2 linked regions of the Coturnix japonica genome follow. The protein of the gene in region 1 purifies or fractionates together with the protein of each later gene. This does not show direct contact. Links are inferred from orthologs where the notes say so. Each region holds a gene or a part of one and is shown in the gene's direction. Other genes may lie near its edges.

Region 1 (10,990 bases):
GGTGGCCCTGCCAGGCAGGGGGTTGGAACTACATGATCCTTGAGGTCCCTTCCAACCCGGGTCATTCTGTGATTCTGTGTAGAACGGCAGGAGCGCGGAATGGTCCCGGCTGGAAAAGCCCCCGAGATCCCAACACACCCCATGTGCCCCACAGCGGCTCCGGAGCAGCTCCAGGGACGGCGACCGAGACCTGCGGGACGGGGACAGGCTGCGAGATGGGAGCGTTCAGAATCATGGGATCATTGAATCACAAGGCTGGAAAGGACTGACAGGATCGTCCAGTCCAACCGTCCTCCCCCTACCACACCTACAGCAAACCCCAAACCATCTCTCCTAGCTCCATATCCAGATGCTTCTTGAACACTGCCAGGGATGGCGACTCCACCACCTCCCTGTGCAGCCATTGCAGTGCCTGGCCACTCTCTGAGAGAAAAAGTTCCTTCTTATGTCCAGCCTAAACCTCAACTGATACAACTTGTGGCCATTTCCTCAGGTCCTGAGAAAAACACCAAGTGAAAGCGCAGCGCCTTCAGCCCGGAGGTCGGCGTGGGGACGGCAGCCGAGGGGCGGTGTACGCAGTGCACAGCTCGCTCTCGGCCAGCAGGAGGCGCTATAGAGCACAGCAATAACGCGGTGTGTCCAGCAGGAGGTGCTGTAGAGCACAGCAATAACGCGCTGTATCCAGGGCACAGCAATGACGCGGTGCCGCCAGCAGGAGGCGCTGCGCACACGGGGCAATAATGACGGGCCGGGGGTCGCGGGTGGGTAAAATTGTTTCGTGTTTTGGTCAAAAAGGAACCCGCGTCTCTCTGTGTTGCCCAGGCTACGCTGCAGTGACTATTCACAGGCGCGATCCCGCTACTGACCGGCACGGGAGTTTTGACCTGCTCCGTTTCCGACCTGGGCCGGTTCACCCCTCCTTAGGCAACCTGGTGCGCCTCGGCTCCCCGGGGCTCACCATATTGATGCCGGCCTTAGCGCGGACGCCCGCTCGGCATAGCGCACTGCAGCCCAGAACTCCTGGGCTCAAGCGATCCGGCGGGCTCAGCCTCCCGAGTAGCTGGGACTACAGGCGTGCGCCACCGCGCCCGGCAGCGGCAGCAGCGCCGCGCGAGCCATACAGCTCTAACACGGCGGTGACGTCACACGGCGCAGGGAGGGGGAGCGGGTCGCTCTGCGCACGCGCCGCCCCCCAGTGCCGCGGTGCAGGGCGGGAGGCCGGGCCGGGTTGATTAGCGCACGCGCGGGCCGCCATCTTTCTCTCTGTGCTGGTGGCGCCGCACGCAGCCATGGGGCACCAGCAGCTGTACTGGAGCCACCCCAGGAAGTTCGGGCAGGGATCGCGGTCGTGGTCAGTGCTCACCCCGGGGTTATTGGGGTTGTTATTGGGGTTATTGGGGCTGGTGGGTCTCGGTCTCTTTCACTCTGTCGTGGTTTCTCCCCGCTCCGCCATTACCCGCCCTGACCGCTCCCTTCTCTCCACAGCCGCGTGTGCTCCAACCGCCACGGCCTGATCCGAAAGTACGGGCTGAACATGTGCCGGCAGTGCTTCCGCCAGTACGCCAAGGACATCGGCTTCATCAAGGTCAGCACACATTGCCTGCACCCCCCTATTGCCCCCCCCCCCATTGCCCCCCATTGCTGGTTCCTCACTCCTGTCGTTCTCTTGCAGCTGGACTGAGCGCTGGGATCATGAGGTCACCGCTGGATCCTGCGTTCTCCTCGGCCCTCCCTGCAGCACCTCGGTGTAGCCTCTGTCAATAAATGGCCTCCCTGCCCTATTAACCGGTGTCTCGCTGTGTTGTGTATCTGTTTGTAGGGCTCGTATCCCGCTATCGTGCCTGTTTTAGGAGGGCTGGGTTCTGGGTTGGTCTGAATGGGCTTGGCTTGGTTTTTTAGGCTTTAGCCAGACAAAACCAGGTGATGCCTTAAAGATGATCCAGGGGCTGGAGCACATCCCCTGTGAAGACAGGCTGAGGGAGCTGGGCTTGTTCAGCATGGAGGAAATAAAGCTGTGGGGTGACCTCAGTGCAGCCTGCCAGGACCTGAAGGGAACCTATAATCAGGAGGGGAGTCAACTCTTTGAAAGGGCTGATAATAGTGGGACAAGGGGAAATGGTTTTAAGTTGGGAGAGTGGTGCTGTGCTGGAACAGCTGCCCAGAGAGGCTGTGGATGCCCCGTCCATCCCTGGAGGTGTTCAAGGCCAGGTTGGATGGGGCCCTGGGCAGCCTGGGCTGGTATCAATGTGGGGGGTTGGAGCTTCATGATCCTTGAGGTCCCTTCCAACCCAGGCCATTCTGTGTTTCTGTGGTGCTTCTGAGCCCTAGGGATGCAGCCTGCTTGCTCTTGGCTGCTTGGTGACTCTGGTGTTATCTCACACTCATAAATTGGGCTCCTGGGGCTCTATTGCTGCTCTGGTCTGGGTTGGTGTGTCACAGAATCCTTTGAGTTGGAAGGAACACTTGAAGGCCATCGGGTGCCATTCCCTGCAGTGAATGGGAGCACCCACAGCTCCATCAAACGCTCAGACCCTGCCCACCCTGACCTTGTGTGCCCCCAGGCCCAGGGTACCACCTTTTCTCTAGCAACCTGTGACAGTGCCTCACTGCAAGAAATGAAACAACACAACCCTTCATCATTATATCCAATGTAAAATTTCCTCTTGGTTTGAAACCATTTCCCTTTGTTCTGCCACAGTGTAGTGGTGAAGAGCTGGGTCTCCTTTCTTAGAAACTCCCTTTAGGTATTGGAAACGCACTCAAGGCTTTCCTTGGAGCTTTCTCTTCAGGCTGAACGGCCCCAACTCTCACAGCCTGCCCTTATAGCGGAGGTGTTGATCCTTGAGATCCTTTTTATTGCCCTTCTCAGGATGTGCTCCAACAGCTCTTTGTCTTTTTGGGTGTGGTGAGAGTCCTTACATTTCCCTTACAGAGAGAGTTCAGGCAGATGTAGGGGGGTGTCTTCAATTCATACAGATGCCACTGATGTGGCAAGTTCTGTTATTTCTGACGTAGGGGTCATTCCCAATGTTGGGGAGGGTAGGGTGCCCTTCTCTAGGTAAGGTTTGCCACTGTTTGGGGTGGCCTGATAATTAAGGGGATTACAAGTGTCTGCCAGGAAGCCTCCTACAGCCCAAAGTGGTGATGTCTGAGGATCCAAACGAGCTGGGGGGGGGGCCTTAATGGGAACTGCTCAGTGTAAACCAACACTTAAATCCATGAGGGGAGCTGGTGTGGGGCACAGGGAATAGTGCAGCTCCAGCACTGCTGGGGCTCTGGGCCCAGGGGCTGAGCACGTGTTAACCGTGAGATGGAAAATGGTACTAAAAAAAGCTCTGTACCAATAGCTGCCCAGCAGGGATGCCAACTGAGAAGTGTGTTCCTACCTGAAAACAGAACTAAAGATGCTTCTGAATCACTTTGTGCTCATTAAACCAGCTATATCATCACTTGGTAATTTGGGGAATGTGAAATGTTCTTGTTTTGTTCCTATTCTGCAGCTCCCATCTTTTAAGCCTACTGGGAAGGTGGTGTAGCACAAACTGTGGTGCCTTTACACCTCCTGCTGCCTGAACCGGGTATTGATTGCTGGTATATAGAGAAAACTAGGTGCCAGAAGCTGGAGTTTGCTGAGCTCGTTGTGAAAACTGCCTTCATTTCCATCCTCAAGCTGATGATTACAGGCTCTGAAGGTGCACAGATGTGAAGCTGAAACTTATTTGGAAGCAAAGTGATTTATAAAGAGCTGTGGATTCCCCCGAAGAACAGGTAAAATCAAAGCGCTCTTTAAGGACTTTGCATTAATAGCGAACAGCTAAGACATGTTTTCCTGTAGGGAAATAACGTTGCCTGTTTGGAGCCTGGTAAAAGCTACTGATAAGTTTGCTTTGAAAAAGATGAAGCTCCAATTGCTGAAATAGAGTTTATATGGGATTTGGAGTATAGGAAAAAACACTGCGTTGCATTGGATTACGCACCAGATAAAATCTGTGATTATCAGAGGCTCTGAGAGGAATTTGCAAAGCTTTGGGTAGAACATTGGCTTTTGAACTCACCCTGAGGCGAGAAAAATGAAACTGCCTGACACGCTCAGATAGGAAAAATAGGATTCCTTCAGGTAGGCTGCAGCAATGCAGGTGCTGGGGGGGGTTCTTGTGCCCCAATGGCCACTGAGCTGCAGCCCAACCCATGGAGCTGCTGCGTGGGAGCAGGTTGGGGGTGGCCTTTGGGCTGTTCTGCTTGTAGCATCTCAGGTTGTGTGCCAGGGAGCTCTTGTCACCTTGGCTAGTTCTATTCCTTGCCTCAGGGGCTGAGGGCTGCTCTGGTGTCAGTGCAGGAGGCTGTCAGAGCTGCAGTGATCCTCAACCTGAGTATTCATTGGCATGGCCACTGCTACCCGTCTGAGCTAGGGCTTTCTTATTAGAATCAGCTGATTCTTCTTCTGCTGCTGCTTGTAGATGTCTTTTGAGGGTGTTTTTTTCACCCAGAGGGTGGTGACGCACTGGAACAGGCTGCCCAAGGAGGCTGTGGATGCCCCATCCCTGCAGGCATTCAAGGCCAGGCTGGATGTGGCTCTGGGCAGCCTGGGCTGCTGGTTGGTGACCCTGCACACAGCAGGGGGTTGGAGCTGGATGAGCACTGTGGGCATTTGCAACCCAGGCCATTCTATGGTTCTATGTCTGCACTTGTATGGTCCTTGTGCACACTTTTGTGCTTCTCCAGACTCAGCTTTGAGCACCATGGCAGGGTCCTGTGCCCATGCTGTGTCTACCACCAAAGCAGGGTGCTGGGTGCCTGTTTCCCCATGTACAGATGTCACTGCACGGCCAGGCGCACACGGCAGCAGCCTGTATTAAAGCAGAAGCTAGATGGCACAGTCTGCCTGCTGGATCTGCAGCTTCTGTGCAGAAGCAGCTCTGCAAAGCCCTCTGCCAAGGCTGGCCAGGAGCTCTGCATTTCTCAGCCTGAGATGAGAACCACATTTTCAGTTCTTGCCTTGAGGGGCCTCATCCGAGCTGGCACCACAAATACTCGTCAACCTGGGGGCATTTATTTATGAATACATATTGGAAAAGTCTCTGCCCCCACCTATGTGTCACTTAATGTGCTTCAGTGCTCCGATGTTGCTCTTCTACACACCCTGTGCTTAGAGGCCAGCATCGCTCCCAGCCCAGTCCAACAGCAGGTTTGGCTGGAACACACTCCTCACCCTGATTTCTGCAGACAGCCAACACCAGGCAGGCTGACCCTGCAGTGCTGCCCACCCATTGCAGGCCCATGTTTGGTGACTTTGTTGGCCCCTGCTCCATCTCAGCACCCAGAGGAGCCCTTGGCTGTTGGTGCATCACCCTTCCTCATCCCCGCTCCCCTTCATGGTACAGTGAGATGAATGCCTGGAGAAGCCCATGCAGATGGGATCTGGCTTGCAGCGTGGTGAGCAGAAGTGCTGCTAAATAAAACATTTTCAAAGGCTGGCATTAGGCATCAGTGGCTCTCTAATTCAAGATGCTTGTTGGGAGTGTGTGTTTGTTGCAGACAATGTTTATTTATGGCATGTAAAATCTATTTTAATCAAATAATTTCCATAACTGAATATTTATGCCAACACCCACTGAATGCTCCTTGACTAAACTGAAAACTATTTATTCAGTTATAAATGTTTACTTGTTTAGTGTTAAAACTGCTTTAAACAAACTTAAAAATCAAATTGACATCTTCCCTGCTAGCAGGATTTTCACTTTATTTCAGGCATTGCCTGGAGCTGCTTGGGCTTGGAGAGCACTGGGACGCTGCTCTCAGATATAGGGTGTGGGTTTGGGTGGTGCTGTGTGGGGCTGGAATGGACTTGGTGATCCCTATGGGTTCCTTCCAGCTTGGATTTTAAAGGGAAGCCTGCCTTGCACGGCTGGTGGTGCTGAGGGGAGCTTATAGATTCATAGAATCAGTAAGGTAAATTCACCCAGTATTAAGGCTGAAGGAATGCAAACAAGTTCAGCCCGTTTGGGGTTTTGAGTTAATACAGATGTCAAATACTTTGTTCAATAGCTCTAAATTTCCCAAGCCATCAGACATTTTCCTCCTTTATAAATGTATTTATAACAGATCTTAGAGAACCACAGAATCGTTAAGGTTGGAAAAGACCTCTGAGATCACCACGTCCAACCATCTGCTGCCACCAGTGTTGCCCCCAGGGATGGTGACGCCTCCACTCGCTGGGCAGCTGTGCCCCTGCAGCACCGATCTTTCAGAGAAGAAAACTTTCCTAACATCCAGCCTTTGTCAGCTAAATTCACGACATAACTCTGTCCCAAATCCCCATAATCGATTATGTTTGAATCTAAATTAACCTCGGTGAAACATCATCGAGTGTGCTGAATCACCCTAGGGCCTGTGGCACTACATGATGAGCTCCTGCAGCACAGTTGTACAGAGCTCCACTCTTTCCCTGTCTGAGGGTGTTGATGGCCATACTTTGGGCTGTGTGCTTTTGGGCTTCCTCCCTGCAGAGCATGACCTTGCTTATGAAGCCACCTAGCACAGCAGGCAGTGGTTTGCTGCCATCTAAACTTCACACACAACTTGCTCGGGGACGAGTTCTTGCCATGAAAAAACAAAATGTTCTGAGATAACTGGAATAGATACATGGGCATCGATGGGGCTGTGGTGGCAGGTGCCTGGGAAGAGCACAGTCCTACCCCGGTGCAGATGCAGGGATCAAGGTTTGAAGTTGGTTCAGCACTGCTGATTTTCTTGAGGTGTTTGTACTAATGAAGGAAAGAAACACCTGGAAGGCCGTTAACACAGCTCAGACATTGCAGCAGTCACAGAATCATAGAGCATCCCAGCTTGGAAAGGACCCATTGGAAAGGTCCTTGGAGGTGTTCAAGGCCAGGTTGGATGGGGCCCTGGGCAACCTGATCTAGTAATTGTGAAAGTTTGGTGGCCCTGCCAGGCAGGGGGTTGGAACTACATGATCCTTGAGGTCCCTTCCAACCCGGATCATTCTGTGATTCTATGATTCTATTCTATGAAAGGTCATTGAATCCAACTCCTGGGAATGACGTAATGAAGTCGGTTGTGGCCATTGATGTGGATGGGCTCTTCTTGATCTTCAGCCCTATGGGTCTGTCCATTCTTTCCCAACACCCACAGCAGAGTGCTGTTTATACTCTGGACATCTACAGCCATACACCCAATTCATTTCCCAACAAAGACCAAGTGCTTAGAAGGAGGATTGTTTGATGGCTCTGAGGATGCCTCGTTGCAGCTGGTCAGATGGGCAATGAAATGTTCTTGTGCTTAGAGGTGCAGCACACAGTGCCCTGGCTGCCAGTGCTGTGCAGTGTGATGCATCCGTGTCCCATCACTAGGCTCCTCCTTGCCACAAAGCCTGTCCTCTGATCAGGGGAGTGCAAACTACATTTAACAGCTATAACATATGGAAAAAATTATTATCAGCATAGGAAAAGAAGGTAAGCATCTTGTCTGGAGGCAACGTATGAAGATTTTGCAGGTACAGTTGTACCTGCTAAAGCCAGCTCTCTGGGAACAGTGGGGAGATTCTGCTCATCATATACCAAATAAAACAGTGCCATTTTTCATTGTACCTCACTGGTAACACTCTTTTTTTGAGGTGGTCCATCTGTGAGCTGGATTATTCTGAAGCCAAACTTGTTTTCAGTGCTCACTGAGGAGCCATTTACCTGTGTTATTGCTCAAAGTTTTTTGGCAGAGGGAAAATCCCACCTTTCTCACACAGCTGATGTACTGGGGCCGCTTCCAAGCATGGCTGTAAACTCACCTTGATTTGGGGTTGGCTTCGGACTTGAACCCTCAGAAGCAGGGGGGAGGGTGATGTAAATCATGGGGATATGCTTTTGGTTGCCTTAGTGCTCCTGCTATAGACCATGTGAGACCAACAGTCATACCTCTCTTTTCAGCTGAAACATCTGGTTTTGGATAGGAATACTTTAATTTCTATTGCAAATGGTGTAAAAGCATGAATGCCAAAGCAGAGCTTTGCCAGCAGGGTAAAGCCACCCAGGGTCTACTCTGATTCTGCAGGATCAGCAGTTTCCATGCAAAAACAAAGAGGGCTGTTTGCATGAAAGCTCTGGAACAGGCTGCCCAGGGCAGTGGTGGAGTCCTTGTCCCTGCAGGCATTCAAGGCCAGGCTGGATGTGGCTCTGGGCAGCCTGGGCTGCTGGTTGGTGACCCTGCACACAGCAGGGGGTTGGAGCTGGATGAGCACTGTGGGCCTTTGCAACACAGGCTGTTCTATGACGATTCTCTGATTCTACATTTCTATGCCACTGCTCCTCCACAGAAAAGGCCAAAGCATCTTCAAAGCCTTTATCAGATAGGAAAACCACATAGAAGAGCAAGCGCTGCTACGAGCAGAAGAAAACCCACGAGTTATTAAAAAAGATTTGCAACACAAAGCTGTGAGTGGAATCATCTCAGCCAACACTGAAAAGAAATGGCAGGGACCAAAGGGAGAAAGTGCCCCTTCTTGAGCATTGGCGTTGGAAAGCAGCTCTCTCGTGCGCTCCTCAGCCACGCAGCAGAATTAGCAGCTTAGCCCCAGGCAATGGCTGGATTGACAAACTGGCCTCTTATGTCCACAGCCTGTTGTGAAAGGAATATTAAAGCTGCGACATCCATAAAACACCGTGTCTGCAGCTGCGATTTGACTTTATTTCTTTTCAAGAGACTCTGACAGAGTGAGACTGAACGATGGGATACTGCATCAAATCCACCTCCCAAAGGACGGGCTGAAAACCACTGAATCTGCACCAGTAAAGGACGTTTATGAGGAGTGTTGGTGGGGGCTAAAGAAGGAGCATCCCATGTCCCAGGATGACAAGGTGGGTGTGATGGAAAGCACACAAGTGCCCATGAGGATGAAGAAGTGCCATTGCCTGCCCAGGTGGTGGTAGTGGGGACATGTAGAACCATAGAGGTGTGGCACTGAGGGACGTGGATGGTGGAGATGGGTTGGGTTTGGGCTTGGGGATCTGGGAGGTTTTTTCCAGCCTTAATGATTCTGTGATTCTATGCGTGATCCAGAAAGCAGTAACTCTGGATGTCGCCTCTTGTTAAACTCATTCATTGCGTCAGTGAGGGGATGGAGGACGAGGAGGCAGTGCTTGTTTGTGGGGTGGTTGAGGGGTAAACGAGGGCACACAGCTCACAGAGGGGCAGCAGTTGGCACCGCGCGGCCTCAGGAGCCCCAGCAGAGACAGGGACTATTTATACATCCAAACAAACATCCCTTAACTGCAGAGCATCTGCCTGAGGATGACATTTATGGAGAGAAACGGCAAGGGGAATTTCAGGTGGTCCATGACAGCGTGTGCTGAGAAGTTCTGTTATTGTTTGGCTTCACATCTTTTCCCTGATTTTCCGCATTTTTGGCCCAAGGGCTGTACTGTTGGAGCCCGGCTCTTCTGCAGTGACCTCAGCACCTGCATCCCTGGGGACCACTGTGAAATCCCATTTGGTTCCTGCTGGATGGGGGCTCAAACTCTTCCTCTTGTGGTATTGGGGCTTCACCCCACAATCCATCATGGTTGGAGATCCCCACCCTTTCTTTTACAGCCTCTGCTTTTTTGGAGGTCAACCAGGGAGCCGATAAAAGCAGATGGATCTGTTGTGAGTGGAAACACAAATAAAAAACACCAGCAGTGCTGATGGTTCCCCCCCTCCCCACCTCCCAGGGACACATAAAACTTTAACAAGTGAATGGAGCTAAGTTTGTGCACCGGAGTTAAAATTGCATGAGGAACATTTTCATGCTCTGTGCTGGTTGTGATCTCTGCTGGGCTGACACCCTGCCCTGTGCCACCTCATGACCCCCAGCTCCAGGGGCAGCATTTCCAGCTCCGGTACAGCCCTGAAGCTCCACTTTCATGGGTAAAGCAGAGATTTGGGGTCAGAGAAAGAGCATCTGCTGTATGGGGTCCTGGCCCTGCGGGGAGTGGTGCTGGCTGGGGGCACTGAGCAGATGACCCTGCTGGTAACGTCCCACCCGTGTGGATGCAGTCTCATCTCTGTAGGACTTTTGGCAGTGATTATGAAGTGGTCATGAGCTCAAAGTGCTTCTGCCATGGTCTTCACACCATCCTCACGTGTGTCTGTCCTGCCATACATGGGAAGTGGGTTTGGGCTGGTGGGATCAGTGATGTTTGTAGCTAGGGGGGATGAGCCCACCTTCATAGAGTCAGGAAGGGTTGGGAGGAGGGACTCTCAGACACTTGTATTCCCATCATGCTGCTATTTACCCCTTTAGGCATGAAGAAGATGGACCTGAGGGTCCAGCGCCTTTGGGGACACTGGAGAGCTACCCCTGCGCCTGGAGCCATTGAGGGGAGCAGTGGCACCTCCATATGCTTCTGTTGGACTTTGGGGTGTTTGGCCTTCTGTCTCAGAGGCAATGGAAGATGTTACATCAGAGGTTGGTGTATGTATGAAATTGGCCACTTCTGGGCAATTTGCAAAACTTGCATTGTTTTGGGTTGGCTTCATCGCCTTTGTATTTCATGGGTGATCTCAGATGCCCTGGGAATGGAGACTAAAAGGTGTAATTTGGGGCCTCTGGGAAGAGCCCCAGAGCGCTGCCCTACACCTGGGGCTGTGCTGGGGCTGTAGTTGGGATGGCAGCTGGTGAAGGGTTGGCCCAGGCTGAGACATGACCAGCGGCACAGGGCACTCTTGCAGGATCTGGAATTTGGAGGTGATGTTGTCAGTAGATGGAGCTGTTTATTAATGTTTCCTGATAATTTATGGTGCAGAAGGAGGCCTCGGTGCTGCATGGAGTCTGCGGTGTTCCTGGCCTCTGGGGAAGGGTCCCAGTCCCAGTTCTGTCCCTGTCTCCACCCTGTCCTCATGTCACCCAGAGCTCAGAGCTGGGGCTGCACCCACAGACAGAAGGGGATGGGGGTGCTGTGGAAAATGTTATTTTGTGGCTCTTGTATGGAAAAACTATCAG
Region 2 (11,112 bases), on another chromosome or scaffold:
CAAGAGGGTTGATATTTTTGACTATCAAGAGAATGCTGTGATTAAGTGCTCTGAAGGTACGTGATGTTTTGCATCTCCGTCAGTCAAGGGATTTGAACATTTAGTGACTGCTTTGTGATTTCACAGGCATGGTTAAGTCTTGTACTTAAGCAAAAAAACTGTTATTTGGACTTGTAAAGATGTAAGCAGAGAATAAAGGTTCTGGATGTTACCATTGCTTCTTTCTTGTTGGGATCTTAGAAAAAAACACTCAATAACTTTTAATGAATAATTTAAAAATAGGTTACAGAAAAGATTCCTGTTAAACACCTGTATACAAAAGACATTGATATACATGAGGTGCGAGTTGGCTGGTCGCTGAACACAAGTGGAATGTTGCTCGGTAAGACCTCAAGTTTTTCTTCTGTGTTATATTGTCTGTGGTTGAAATTTTCCTGTCTGACTAACAGAAAAGCATCTGTAAAACTGAACGATTGTAGCCCGTGTGTTTTGAAAAGGGGTTTTGAGTTATTAATGGATGTTGTGGAAGTTTAGTACTGGGACCAAACAAGGTTAACTATTTAAGATTTTGAGATTATAAGGTTTACGCATAGAAGGAAAATTCGTAGATAATTGTGTTACTATTCTCTTGGAGTTGGGGAGTCTTATTTCTAAACAGCTGGAACAACAAAAAACAACTTCAGTAGATAAGTGGGATCAGATAATTACTGTATTTTTAACTAATAGCTGCTGATGAGATATGTCTGAAAAATGTGTACGAATAGGGGTATTCTGATAGCAGCAACTTTCTAGTTATACGTACTTAAATTCCATCTGAGTTCTTGTGTTTGACGTTTGCTGTTAGCTTGTTCCTTGCAGCTTCATCCTCAGCTGTCGCATAGGCTGAATGTCTGCTAAACTCCCTTTAAAATGGGGAGGGGTAAGTGCTGCTGGAGACTTAATTCAGAAATGCCTTTCTGACTAACTGCATTACAGGTATACTGATTCACAAACAGGTTTTCAGGGTTTAAGAATACTTACTCATGTCTTTAGCTAGAAGTGTTCAGCATTTTGTCACCAAGAATCTGGAACCAGTAGCATAAAGCTTTTAAGGTTAGGGTGAGGAAAAAACTGCTGTTCCATTTTAAATGACACTATTGAATTCTTAAATGCAAGAAACAGCTGTAGCTATTCTGAGGGTGATGACTTGTTTTGGCATCAATGAAAACATTTAGAACAGCAGTTCATTTAAGTAATTGTGAAGTAATTGCGTTTCTGAACAGCTAGAAGAAAATACGTATTATTACAAAGTTTAAATTTCTTGTTCAGGTGAAGAAGAATTTTCTTACGGCTATTCTCTAAAGGGAATAAAGACATGCAATTGTGAGACTGAAGACTTTGGTGAGAAGTTTGATGAAAATGATGTGATTGGATGTTTTGCTGTAAGTTTTCTCTTAAGTTATTCTCTTGAGGAAAAACATCCTTTAATTTTCAGGCTGCTTTGATGTGAGAAGCGGTTGATTTGAAGAAAGACAAGTTATTTAGCGTACTGAGAAGGTAGAAGTAGCATGTATAAGCAGCAGTGGCTGCTGTCAACCTTTCTCATGTTTTCCAAGGCTTTGAAAAGAATAATCATGTCTTAGCACGATCATTGATATTTAAAGATTGTTTCCTAATTTAAGGATCTACTCATTTTATAATGGTGTTATTAGAAGTTATATAAATACAGCCAGTGTGGTGAAATATTAATGTGTTTTTATGCAGTGTGCATGTTTTTACACAAACTAACGCTTTGTCTGTGAAACAGAATTTTGATGGTGATGAAGTGGAGCTCTCGTATTCCAAGAACGGACAAGAGCTTGGTGTTGCATTCAAAATTAGTAAGGAAGTTCTTGATGGGCGCCCACTCTTTCCACATGTTCTCTGCCATAACTGTGCAGTTGAGTTCAACTTTGGTCAGAAGGATGAACCTTACTTTCCTGTACCCGAAGAGTATACCTTCATCCAGAAGGTCCCCCTGGAAGACAGGGTTCGAGGACCAAAAGGACCTGAGCAAAAGAAAGATTGTGAGGTAAGTTTCCTGGTTATCTCAGAAGTTGTTGAGGAGAGATGAACCCAAGTGTTGTATTTTAAGCTGTTAAAGAAAATTCACCTTTCTGTCTGAAGAATTTAATACTGAGTAGCTTGTGCCTCTCTCCATACTAGATTTCCATTAGGGTTGCTAGGCTTAGTTGCTTATTAAGGAATATCTGTGAGCTAGCATCAAATACGGAATGTGTTGTAATAGGTGGTGATGATGATTGGATTGCCTGGAGCTGGCAAGACTACATGGGTAACTAAACACGCAGCAGCAAATCCTGGGAAGTACAACATTCTTGGGACGAATACTATTATGGACAAAATGATGGTAAGTTGATCATTTAAAGACTTGCTGTAAATCCAAGGTCCTTGGCTGCCAGGGAATTCCCTTCAGTCTAAGTAATCTAAGAAACACGTGATCGTTATTTGACTGACTGTGAGTGCTAAAGATGTTACCGTGCTGAGCTACTTCTCATACACAGCATAGCCAGATTTTGAAATTTCTTATGTAATAAATATCAATCAGGAAGTAATTGATGTTTACCCATTTGTTTGTCTCCGTCCTCAGTACAGAAAATACAGCTTGGAGTCAGTAATACAAGTACACCTCAGATTCAGCTGTATCAATTCAAACAAATTCTTTGCTTATAAAAGAAAAAAACTGAATCGGAAGTTTGTATTTATGTATTTTGTATCCCTGAAGCCAGTTGAAAATAACTTTAGCAGAGCAAAATATCAGTTGTGTGTACTGAGTCTACTATAACTCAAATTTCTATAGGTTGCAGGTTTTAAGAGGCAGATGGCAGACACTGGGAAGCTTAACACACTGTTGCAGCGAGCTCCACAGTGTCTTGGAAAATTCATTGAGATTGCAGCTCGTAAGAAGCGGAATTTCATTTTGGATCAGGTAGAAACTTCAGTAAAAAATTGTTAAGGAATTTTGCTATAGGCTGTAATGTAGTAATTAAGTGGGATTAAAGTTATATTTTAATAGCGGTTGTTTCACTTACTGATTTAATGTGCAAAGTTGAGATGCTACTGCAAATGCTTTTCTGAACTTCTATGGGATGTGGGAGGAATAGTGTAACACTTTGATATGAGCTCGTTCGTAACTTTGCATTATGCAGCTTCTTTATGTCCAGTTATTTGTAAACTTCAATGCAAGCTCTTGTAGAGGTGAAGTCTATACACCATAAGTTGACTTCCTTAACTCTTACAATGACAGCTACGTGTAGTAAGTTACTGCATTTTTTTCAGACAAATGTGTCTGCAGCTGCGCAGAGGAGAAAAATGTGCCTGTTTGCAGGCTTCCAGCGCAAAGCAGTTGTTGTTTGCCCAAAAGATGAAGACTACAAGCAAAGAACACAAAAGAAGGCAGAGGTGGAGGGAAAAGATCTTCCAGAGCATGCAGTTCTCAAAATGAAAGGCATGGAACATAATCCTATACTGTGTTTTAGGATGCTGAATATCTGCTTAAAGGATTAAGTAAACCTGAAATCTAAAAATTTACGTTATCTTAAACAGTTGTACTTAAACAAAACTGGAAGACTATTGTAACTTGTAGGACAACACTATATTGTGTTCCCTCTGCTGCAGTCCTTAACACTACTCATTTATGCTGATATGCTTCATGCAGATGCACAAAGCTGTCTTGGCATAAAGTGCCCTATTTAAGTGACATATTTGGCAGAAACTGATGTTCTGAGTGGAGGCTTATAAAGGGAAAAAAAAAAAGCATAGGCAGAATGCTTTCAAGGTTTGGAACAGTACTGGCAACTCCATGGAGACCCTTTTATTTCTTTTGTCACTCTTACCTTTCTTTACTGCTCAAATTACGTAATTTTGTCCCTATGCTGAGAGAATGTTGGGGGTGGGAGGAAGAATGAGAGAGAAAGGTGGTTAAATGCAGCTTGAATTGTGGCTGAATGGAGATGCTGAATACTCAGTGTTTTTGCAATTATAGGGAACTTCACACTGCCAGAGGTAGCAGAATGTTTTGATGAAATAATCTATGTAGAATTGCAAAAAGAAGAAGCTCAGAAACTCTTGGAACAATATAAAGAAGAAAGTAAGAAATCTCTTCCGCCAGAAAAGAAACAGAACACTGGCTCAAAGAAAAACAAGAAGAGCAATAAAAATCAGTTTAATAGAGGGCAGAGGGGGCGTGGAGGATTCAACATGCGTGGCAACTTCAGAGGAGGAGGTGAGCCTAGAAATAAGTGTATAAATGTTGGGGATAACGGATTGCAAAAATAAGAAAGGAAAGCTTGTCCTATTTGAATTGCATCCATTCTGTGACAGTATCATCGATTTCAGTTCCAGTAAGTTTTTAATAGCTTGACCTTTAGTGCAAAGCTAATTTTCTGACACGTTACAACTGAGCTTCACAAAAAATGTTGCTGTTTGTGTAGTTTGAGGTACAATTTTAAGTTCTTACAGTAAATCTGGTGCTTCCTTGTGTAGAACGCCATATTAAGGGGGCATTTGGTATCTTTATGTTGCTTGGCCGTCATGGATAAAAGGTTATTTTGAAGTGTTTGCATTGGAACTTCTGCAGTGAATTTTGGCATCTCGTTTTTTCACCTTTTAAGAGTCTTTGTTTGAAGCTGTAACTGCGTGAGAGACAATTAAGGCCTAACAGGTACTTGAATTGAGCAAACTTTTCTCTGCAGTCCCAGGCAATCGAGGTGGATACAACAGGAGGGGAGGCAATATGCCACAGCGTGGTGGAGGTGGAGGTGGCGGTGGTGGCGGCAGCAGCGGTGCCATTGGCTATCCTTATCCTCGTGGCCCTGTCTTTCCTAGCAGAGGTGGCTACTCAAACAGAGGAAATTATAACAGAGGTGGAATGCCCAACAGGGGAAACTACAACCAGGTAATGCTTGTCATGGAGGAGTTACTAGTTGATATGCAGTACTCTGGATACTGTTCTGTTGTTGACAGGCTTGTTAGCTGTGGATAGTAGCAAGCTTGGTACACTTAGTTCCACAGCAAAAGATTTAACTTTCTAGCTAAGAGTACATGCCTGGAGCTGTAAGAACTGTGAATGCTGATGCAGTGGTTTCCTAGTAAGCCTATCTTAGTCCTGATAAAGCTGAAGGTTTTTAGAGTTTCTGTTCCATTGTAAAGCACTTCATAGTCTGAGCTTCATTTATAGAATGTGGGTCTACCCTGTGCAGTTTATGCTTAAGTCTGGCTTATAGTCCAACTGTTTGAGTTTAACTAGAGTTGGGTTTTGATACTGCACAAATTGTGCAGAAGTCCGTATAAGAGCAGCCATACTAACAGGTGGTTTTGTTCCCTCATGCTGTCCAACCTGCAGTATCAGTAACTGTTGTTTGACCTTAAGGGCAGAGTGTATCTGTTCAGAAGATAAAGTGGATGGCATTTAAAGAATTTTCTGGAAATTGCTCTGGAAGGAGTCTTTGTATTGACATCTTGTATCAAATCATGAAAGACATGCTAGCTTTGGTCTTAAACTGACAAAGTATCAGTGAAAGCACTTGAAAATATGATTCTGATTACTGAAGAGCCAGTAGATGGAGCCCAAGCTAATAAACATGGCTCAGGTTTGTCTAACACAAATGGGAAATGCAGTATTTTATCATAGATAGTCTTTTGTACAAAGGCTTTTATTTAAAGTTTTGTGATCTAACTCCTCTATTTTAAGTTGTATGACCCATATCCTTTTGTCCGATCAGATAACATAGCAACTACAATCTTCCCTAACTAAAAATAGGCAAGCTCTAGTATTTTTAGTTGTCCTAGTGCAGTTTAGTAGCTGGATATAGGGTGAGTCAAAACTGGATTAGCCAGCTTTCCAAACCATTGGCAACTGTAGTCTGTGTCTGGGGTAAAACCGCTGCCACTAAACAGGCAGGTTTTAAGAGGCAGCTGCTTGAGGCTGGCTTTTGGTATTTAACCCAGCCCCGTTACTGATACTTGAAAGATTGGGTATGGCACGTGTTTTGGTGGCAGTAGAAGGACTGGTGTTGCTGTGTTTCTGCCAAGTCTGCATGGATGAGGTGGCTCAAAACTGTTGTCCTCTTGCAGAACTTCAGAGGAAGGGGGAATAATCGTGGCTACAAAAACCAATCTCAGGGCTACAACCAGTGGCAGCAGGGTGTAAGTAGTAATAACTAAACTTTTTCCTCTTAATTTGACTGTTAAGTGTTTCAGAATGCTTGGAAATTAATGTGTAACCAGCACCAGAGAGCAGAATCTTCTAATGCCAAGTAATATTATAAATAGTTCTGCAAAGCTTGATCTGGCTTGATATATCAAGTATCAGCTATGGCGCGTTGGTCTTAATGGCATTGAAGTATTTGGCTCTGTTACTACTGTGTAATGAACGTAACCACCTCCAGTTGTTCTGGGATTTGCTGCTATTTGAGACGATTTTAATCTCAAGTTCCTGGATAAGTTAAATGTGTGTTTAAAAACTCGTTCTCTAAGAAGCGTGTTATGTGCTAACTTAATTAACTATTTTAACTAACTTAAATTAACTATTTATCCATTTATTGCAGCAATTCTGGGGTCAGAAGCCATGGAGTCAGCATTATCACCAAGGATATTATTGAATACCCAAATAAATGAACTGATACATATTTCTCCCAAACCTTCACAAGAAGTCGACTGTTTTCTTTAGTAGGCTAACTTTTTAAACATTCCACAAGAGGAAGTGCCTGCGGGTTCCTTTTTTAGAAGCTTTGTGGGTTGATTTTTTTCTTTTTCTTTTTTTTGTACATTTTTAATTGCAGTTTTAAAGTGATTCGTAAGAGAACCTCAGCATTGTGCACGATAAGAGAATGTGTCAGTATTTCAGGGTTCTACATTTTATCTGTAAAATGTGACTTTTTTTTTTTTTACCACAACAAAAGTAAAACGTTGCTTTGTACCTGGTGTCTTTTTATTAAAGAATTTTCTCCTTTTTCCCCCCATTTACCCCAATTTCTAAGAAACAGTCGTGAGTCGTGTCACAAATACGATCGAAATACGAGCAACCAGATTCGTGTGGAGGCTCCTTGGTAGCCCTCATGAATATATAATGTAAAGCTCCATATTACACTCCATCCTCTCTATAAAGCTTTTGTGTGGGGAGGTGGGAAGGGGGTGGTAAAAGTTTCTGGCAATAAACTAGGACTTTTTTGTAACATTTGGAACTCGATGAGATTGGGGGTGAAGAGGAAACCTGGAGCTCAATAGTGAAGGTGGAGTGTATGTAGAAGCTCTTAAAGTTGTAAAACTTGGTTGCGTTACTTGTGGAGGCTCAAACTTGTGAAGGTACACCACCATAATTTCTTTTCCATTTGTTCTGCATTTTGATTCTGAAAAGAAGCTGGCTTTGCCCATTTCTTATTAAACAAAACTTGTTGTAAATCCAGTTGTCTAATGGGATCTATATGAAGTTAGCTGTGTGTCTGTATAACTTCCCCACCAAATACTGTATACCTAGTGTGCTTGTAGTAGTTACTCCACCATTTTGTAAGCTAATGAAACTGTGAGTCACCCATTTTATATCTAATTTTTAATCATGTCGATTCTCAAATGGGTGTATCTCCTCAGCCTGCTGATTCCTTTTCTCTTTAAAGAAAGTGGGTGGAGAAATTTAACTCTAGACGTTTGTTTGCAATAAAATAAATTCATTTTACTCTTGCTTTGGGATTGTTGCCATCAAGGTCTAAAATCCCTTTAACGCTATAAAGAGGAAGAGAATGTATGGAAGTGACCATGTCGGACAGTTCTGAACTCATTACTTTGTACATGCTGAAATACTTGTGTTTCTTTAATACTCTAAACCAGTGGTTGCTCTGTTAGAGGTGTGTCACATGTATAATCTCACAGCTTAACGGTTACATGCATAGGGCAGAAGTCTTCTGAGTTTCACTTGCATCATGTAAATCCACTTAATCTATTTATTGTAAAATAGAAACTAGGGAAGAAGTAGAGGAGGAAACCGCAGGGACTAGAGGAGAGTTGTCACAGAACGACTCCTGAAGTGAAGCAGAGCGCTTTAACTGCTGTTTTGTTCAGACTTACGCTTTTTGTAATACTGTAGCGATAATGTTAGCTAATAACCTACTGCATCTTAATGCCATGAGTCAGGGAAGAAACACAACTGCTTGGTGTTGGCCTGACAGCGTACATGTGAAAACATTGCTGCCAGCAGCTGGGAGTTGGAGCTGGTGTGCCGAGTTCCTGTTGGCAGTGTACAGTAGATTGCAGAGGCTTTCCCAGCAGCAGCGTAGAGCTAGAGGCAGTGTAGTGTGCTTGAAACCTTCCTCAAATGTTAGTCGATTTCTAATAGTCCTTGAAAGTAACGATAAAGTTGTGTTGCTCTTCTAGCCTTTATAGCAGATGACATTGCATATTGACATTAAACATTAACAGCACCACCTCCTTGTTAATACTGCTTTAAATCATCCCTTTACTTTGAACAAGAACAATGTAAGTTGTCTTTAAAGAAACATTATTTAATGAACTAGAAATATGGGAAATATAAACCCAACTGTTTTTGCTGAAATGGAATTTTCTTTAGACTTGCAAAGCAAATCTTAGTGTAATTAAGTTCCACCTCCCTTCTGCCTTCCTCCTAAGAACCTAACACTTTGTATGGAGTGCTGATCCTTTGCTTATTTTGGTACTCTATAAAATTATATAGTCTTAAACTGAAATATAAGAGCCTACACTTACTATGTGCTTGTAAAGTTTGTATTTTAATGCAAAAGTCTGGGCTGTTTTCTTCTCTTTTCAACATACGGTGTTAATGCCACAGTGGAGAGGAAGGGCTTGAAGTGGCTTCCCATTGAAACAGGAGTATGTCTCAACTAAGAATACTCCTAAATGAGGAATGTTGCCTTAAGGTACTCAGCACTAACTGCTCCCTGTGATTTCAGGTACAGAAACATAAAGCTTCTATGTGCCATCGAGGAACAGTTAGTTCAGAAATGTGATATGTGAGTGTAAGTACTTGCTGTGCTCATTGCAGAGCAGGCCTTCATTTGTGTGAGGCTTGGTTCAGCCTGGGTTCATCCACAAGGGAAAACTTCCTTTAGTTTATCTTAGCGTAGCTATTGCTAAAAGGGAGATTTGTTTTGAAAATTGTTTACCTAGAACATCGCTACTGTTCCAACTAACTTCAATTGCCATTTATTTCCCTGAAAAAGTCTGGTAACTTAGTAGCATCGATGCAAAGAAAGCACAGCTGCATGTTGTCAGCATGGCAGGGCTGAACCATCTGTCATATTGAGTAACTTCACAGCTTATAAGGACTTGTTTACAGGAGGAGAGGTGCCTGTTCCAGCAGCTGTGGTGCTGGTGGGGGTGTAGCACATGCTCGTGGCATATAACACCGTGGCAGGAGGGTGGTGAGGACTGGGGCTCCTTGTAATGCAGCCCAAAGCTGGAGCGCCTGGGCCCTGCCTCCACAGCAGCACCGTGGTGGCTGCTGTATGTCTGAGCCTCAGGAGCAGGGCTGCACTGCTGCCTGTGTCCTGCAGCCCAGTCTGGGGCCTGCTCACATCTTGCTGCTGCAGCTATGGCTGCTTTACTGTAGAGCCGTGTGTATGAGGCCATGCTGGAGACGAGACAGAAGGCTTCCATTTGGAAGGCAAAGCCAACAAATACTTGTGTTGTCTTTGAGTCACTGCGCACAGCAGTTGCTAGGGTACGTGGGGTAACACGGGAGCTCCCCTCACACCCTGCTGTTGGCATGAGGCTGTGTCCTTGGGGCTCTGTGAGTACCTCAAGCCTGGCACTGAAGCATTCTCAGGTAACCTGAGGTTGGGCCCTTACCTGTGGGATGCTGGATTCTAGCTTACTCTCTGGAACTCCTTATGGGAGCCCTGTCCTCAGAGCCAAACCCTGCTGTAAGAAGCCAGCTTTGCTCATGTGTTGGGCTGCCTGGGGGTTACTGGGCAGTGGGGTCTCCATGTGGTGGAGCCTGTGTGCCTCGTGCCTATGGCAGAATGATGTTTGACTGGCTAAAACATTCCAAAATTGCCCTTCTCCCTCAGCACTGCCCCATTTTTTCTGATGGTGGAATAAACTAACCCAGAATTGTGGCAATGCTGTGTGCAGTCCATGCCACTGAGGTTAAAAAAAGTATCAGTGGTATAAGCTGCTGGTTTTTTACATCTCCTTCTATGACACTTCTGTTTGTAATACAAACAGCCAATGATGTCATCTCTTACAGCGTGGAAGTTTCCTTCTCCATGACCCTTTGGAAAACTAGGCCAGTGCTTTGTGGAAGTGCAGCTGTGGGCTGAGCCCTGAGCTGTCTGCCTGAGTTACAGATGGAGATACGGAAGGACTTCTGCAGATGTTCCACAGCTGCATCTGACACTCTCACAAGCAAAAAAGTGCACACACACAAACACACACTGTAATACAGCTCACACTGCTTTGGCCCTGAAATGGGGCAGAGGGTGGGGACAGACAGGAGGCTGCAAGGAGAGTGGAGATTTAGAACAGTAGCTTTGCAATTTAAGTGTTAAAAGCATTGTGAGGTTAGAGCAGTGTCCCTCCTCACACAAAGCTCATCTAGTCTTATGGGAACGACTGCAGTGAGGGAGAGGGAGGCCTCTTGTTACAAAGGTGAGTTGTCATAAGGATCGTAGAGTACAGCTCCCAACTCCACATGGGACAACCCAAAACTCAGACCACGTAACTGAGCATTGTCCAAATATTTCTTACACTCTGGCACTCATGGCTGTGCCCACTGCCCTGGGCCATGTTCCATGCCCACCACCTTCTGGTACAGACCCTGTCCCTCACCCCCAGCCTCCCCTCCCCTGGCACAGCTCCATGCCGTTCCCTCAGGCCCTGTGGCTGTCACACAGCAGAGCTCAGCGCTGCCCCTCTGCTCCCTGTGAGGAGCTGCAGCCGCCATGGCTGTGGCCTTTCCTCAGCTCCGGGCTGGCAAACCCAGGGCCCTCAGGCACTACTCACACACGTTGCCCTACAGACCCTTCATCTTCATAGCCCTCCTTTGGACACTTTCTCATAGTTCTATGTCCTTACGTTGTGGCATCCAAACCTGCACCCAGTGCTGGA

Evidence for each region.
Region 2: the proteins of RPS29 (region 1) and HNRNPU fractionate together in Homo sapiens (co-fractionation; 3 studies listed by BioGRID and IntAct, with this or other methods). This does not show direct contact. The link is inferred for Coturnix japonica from reciprocal best matches to the Homo sapiens genes RPS29 and HNRNPU.

The regions. Positions count from the first base shown.
Region 1 is NC_029520.1:52,235,920-52,246,909, reverse strand, and holds RPS29 (40S ribosomal protein S29), read left to right. Parts: upstream 1-1,214; 5' UTR 1,215-1,289; coding exon 1,290-1,351; intron 1,352-1,485; coding exon 1,486-1,585; intron 1,586-1,672; coding exon 1,673-1,681; 3' UTR 1,682-1,785; downstream 1,786-10,990. UniProt on the Homo sapiens protein: Component of the small ribosomal subunit. The ribosome is a large ribonucleoprotein complex responsible for the synthesis of proteins in the cell.
Region 2 is NC_029518.1:31,201,819-31,212,930, forward strand, and holds the end of HNRNPU (heterogeneous nuclear ribonucleoprotein U), read left to right. Parts: intron 1-282; coding exon 283-382; intron 383-1,308; coding exon 1,309-1,421; intron 1,422-1,786; coding exon 1,787-2,050; intron 2,051-2,266; coding exon 2,267-2,386; intron 2,387-2,836; coding exon 2,837-2,965; intron 2,966-3,315; coding exon 3,316-3,484; intron 3,485-4,021; coding exon 4,022-4,261; intron 4,262-4,730; coding exon 4,731-4,933; intron 4,934-6,111; coding exon 6,112-6,183; intron 6,184-6,584; coding exon 6,585-6,638; 3' UTR 6,639-8,453; downstream 8,454-11,112. UniProt on the Homo sapiens protein: DNA- and RNA-binding protein involved in several cellular processes such as nuclear chromatin organization, telomere-length regulation, transcription, mRNA alternative splicing and stability, Xist-mediated transcriptional silencing and mitotic cell progression.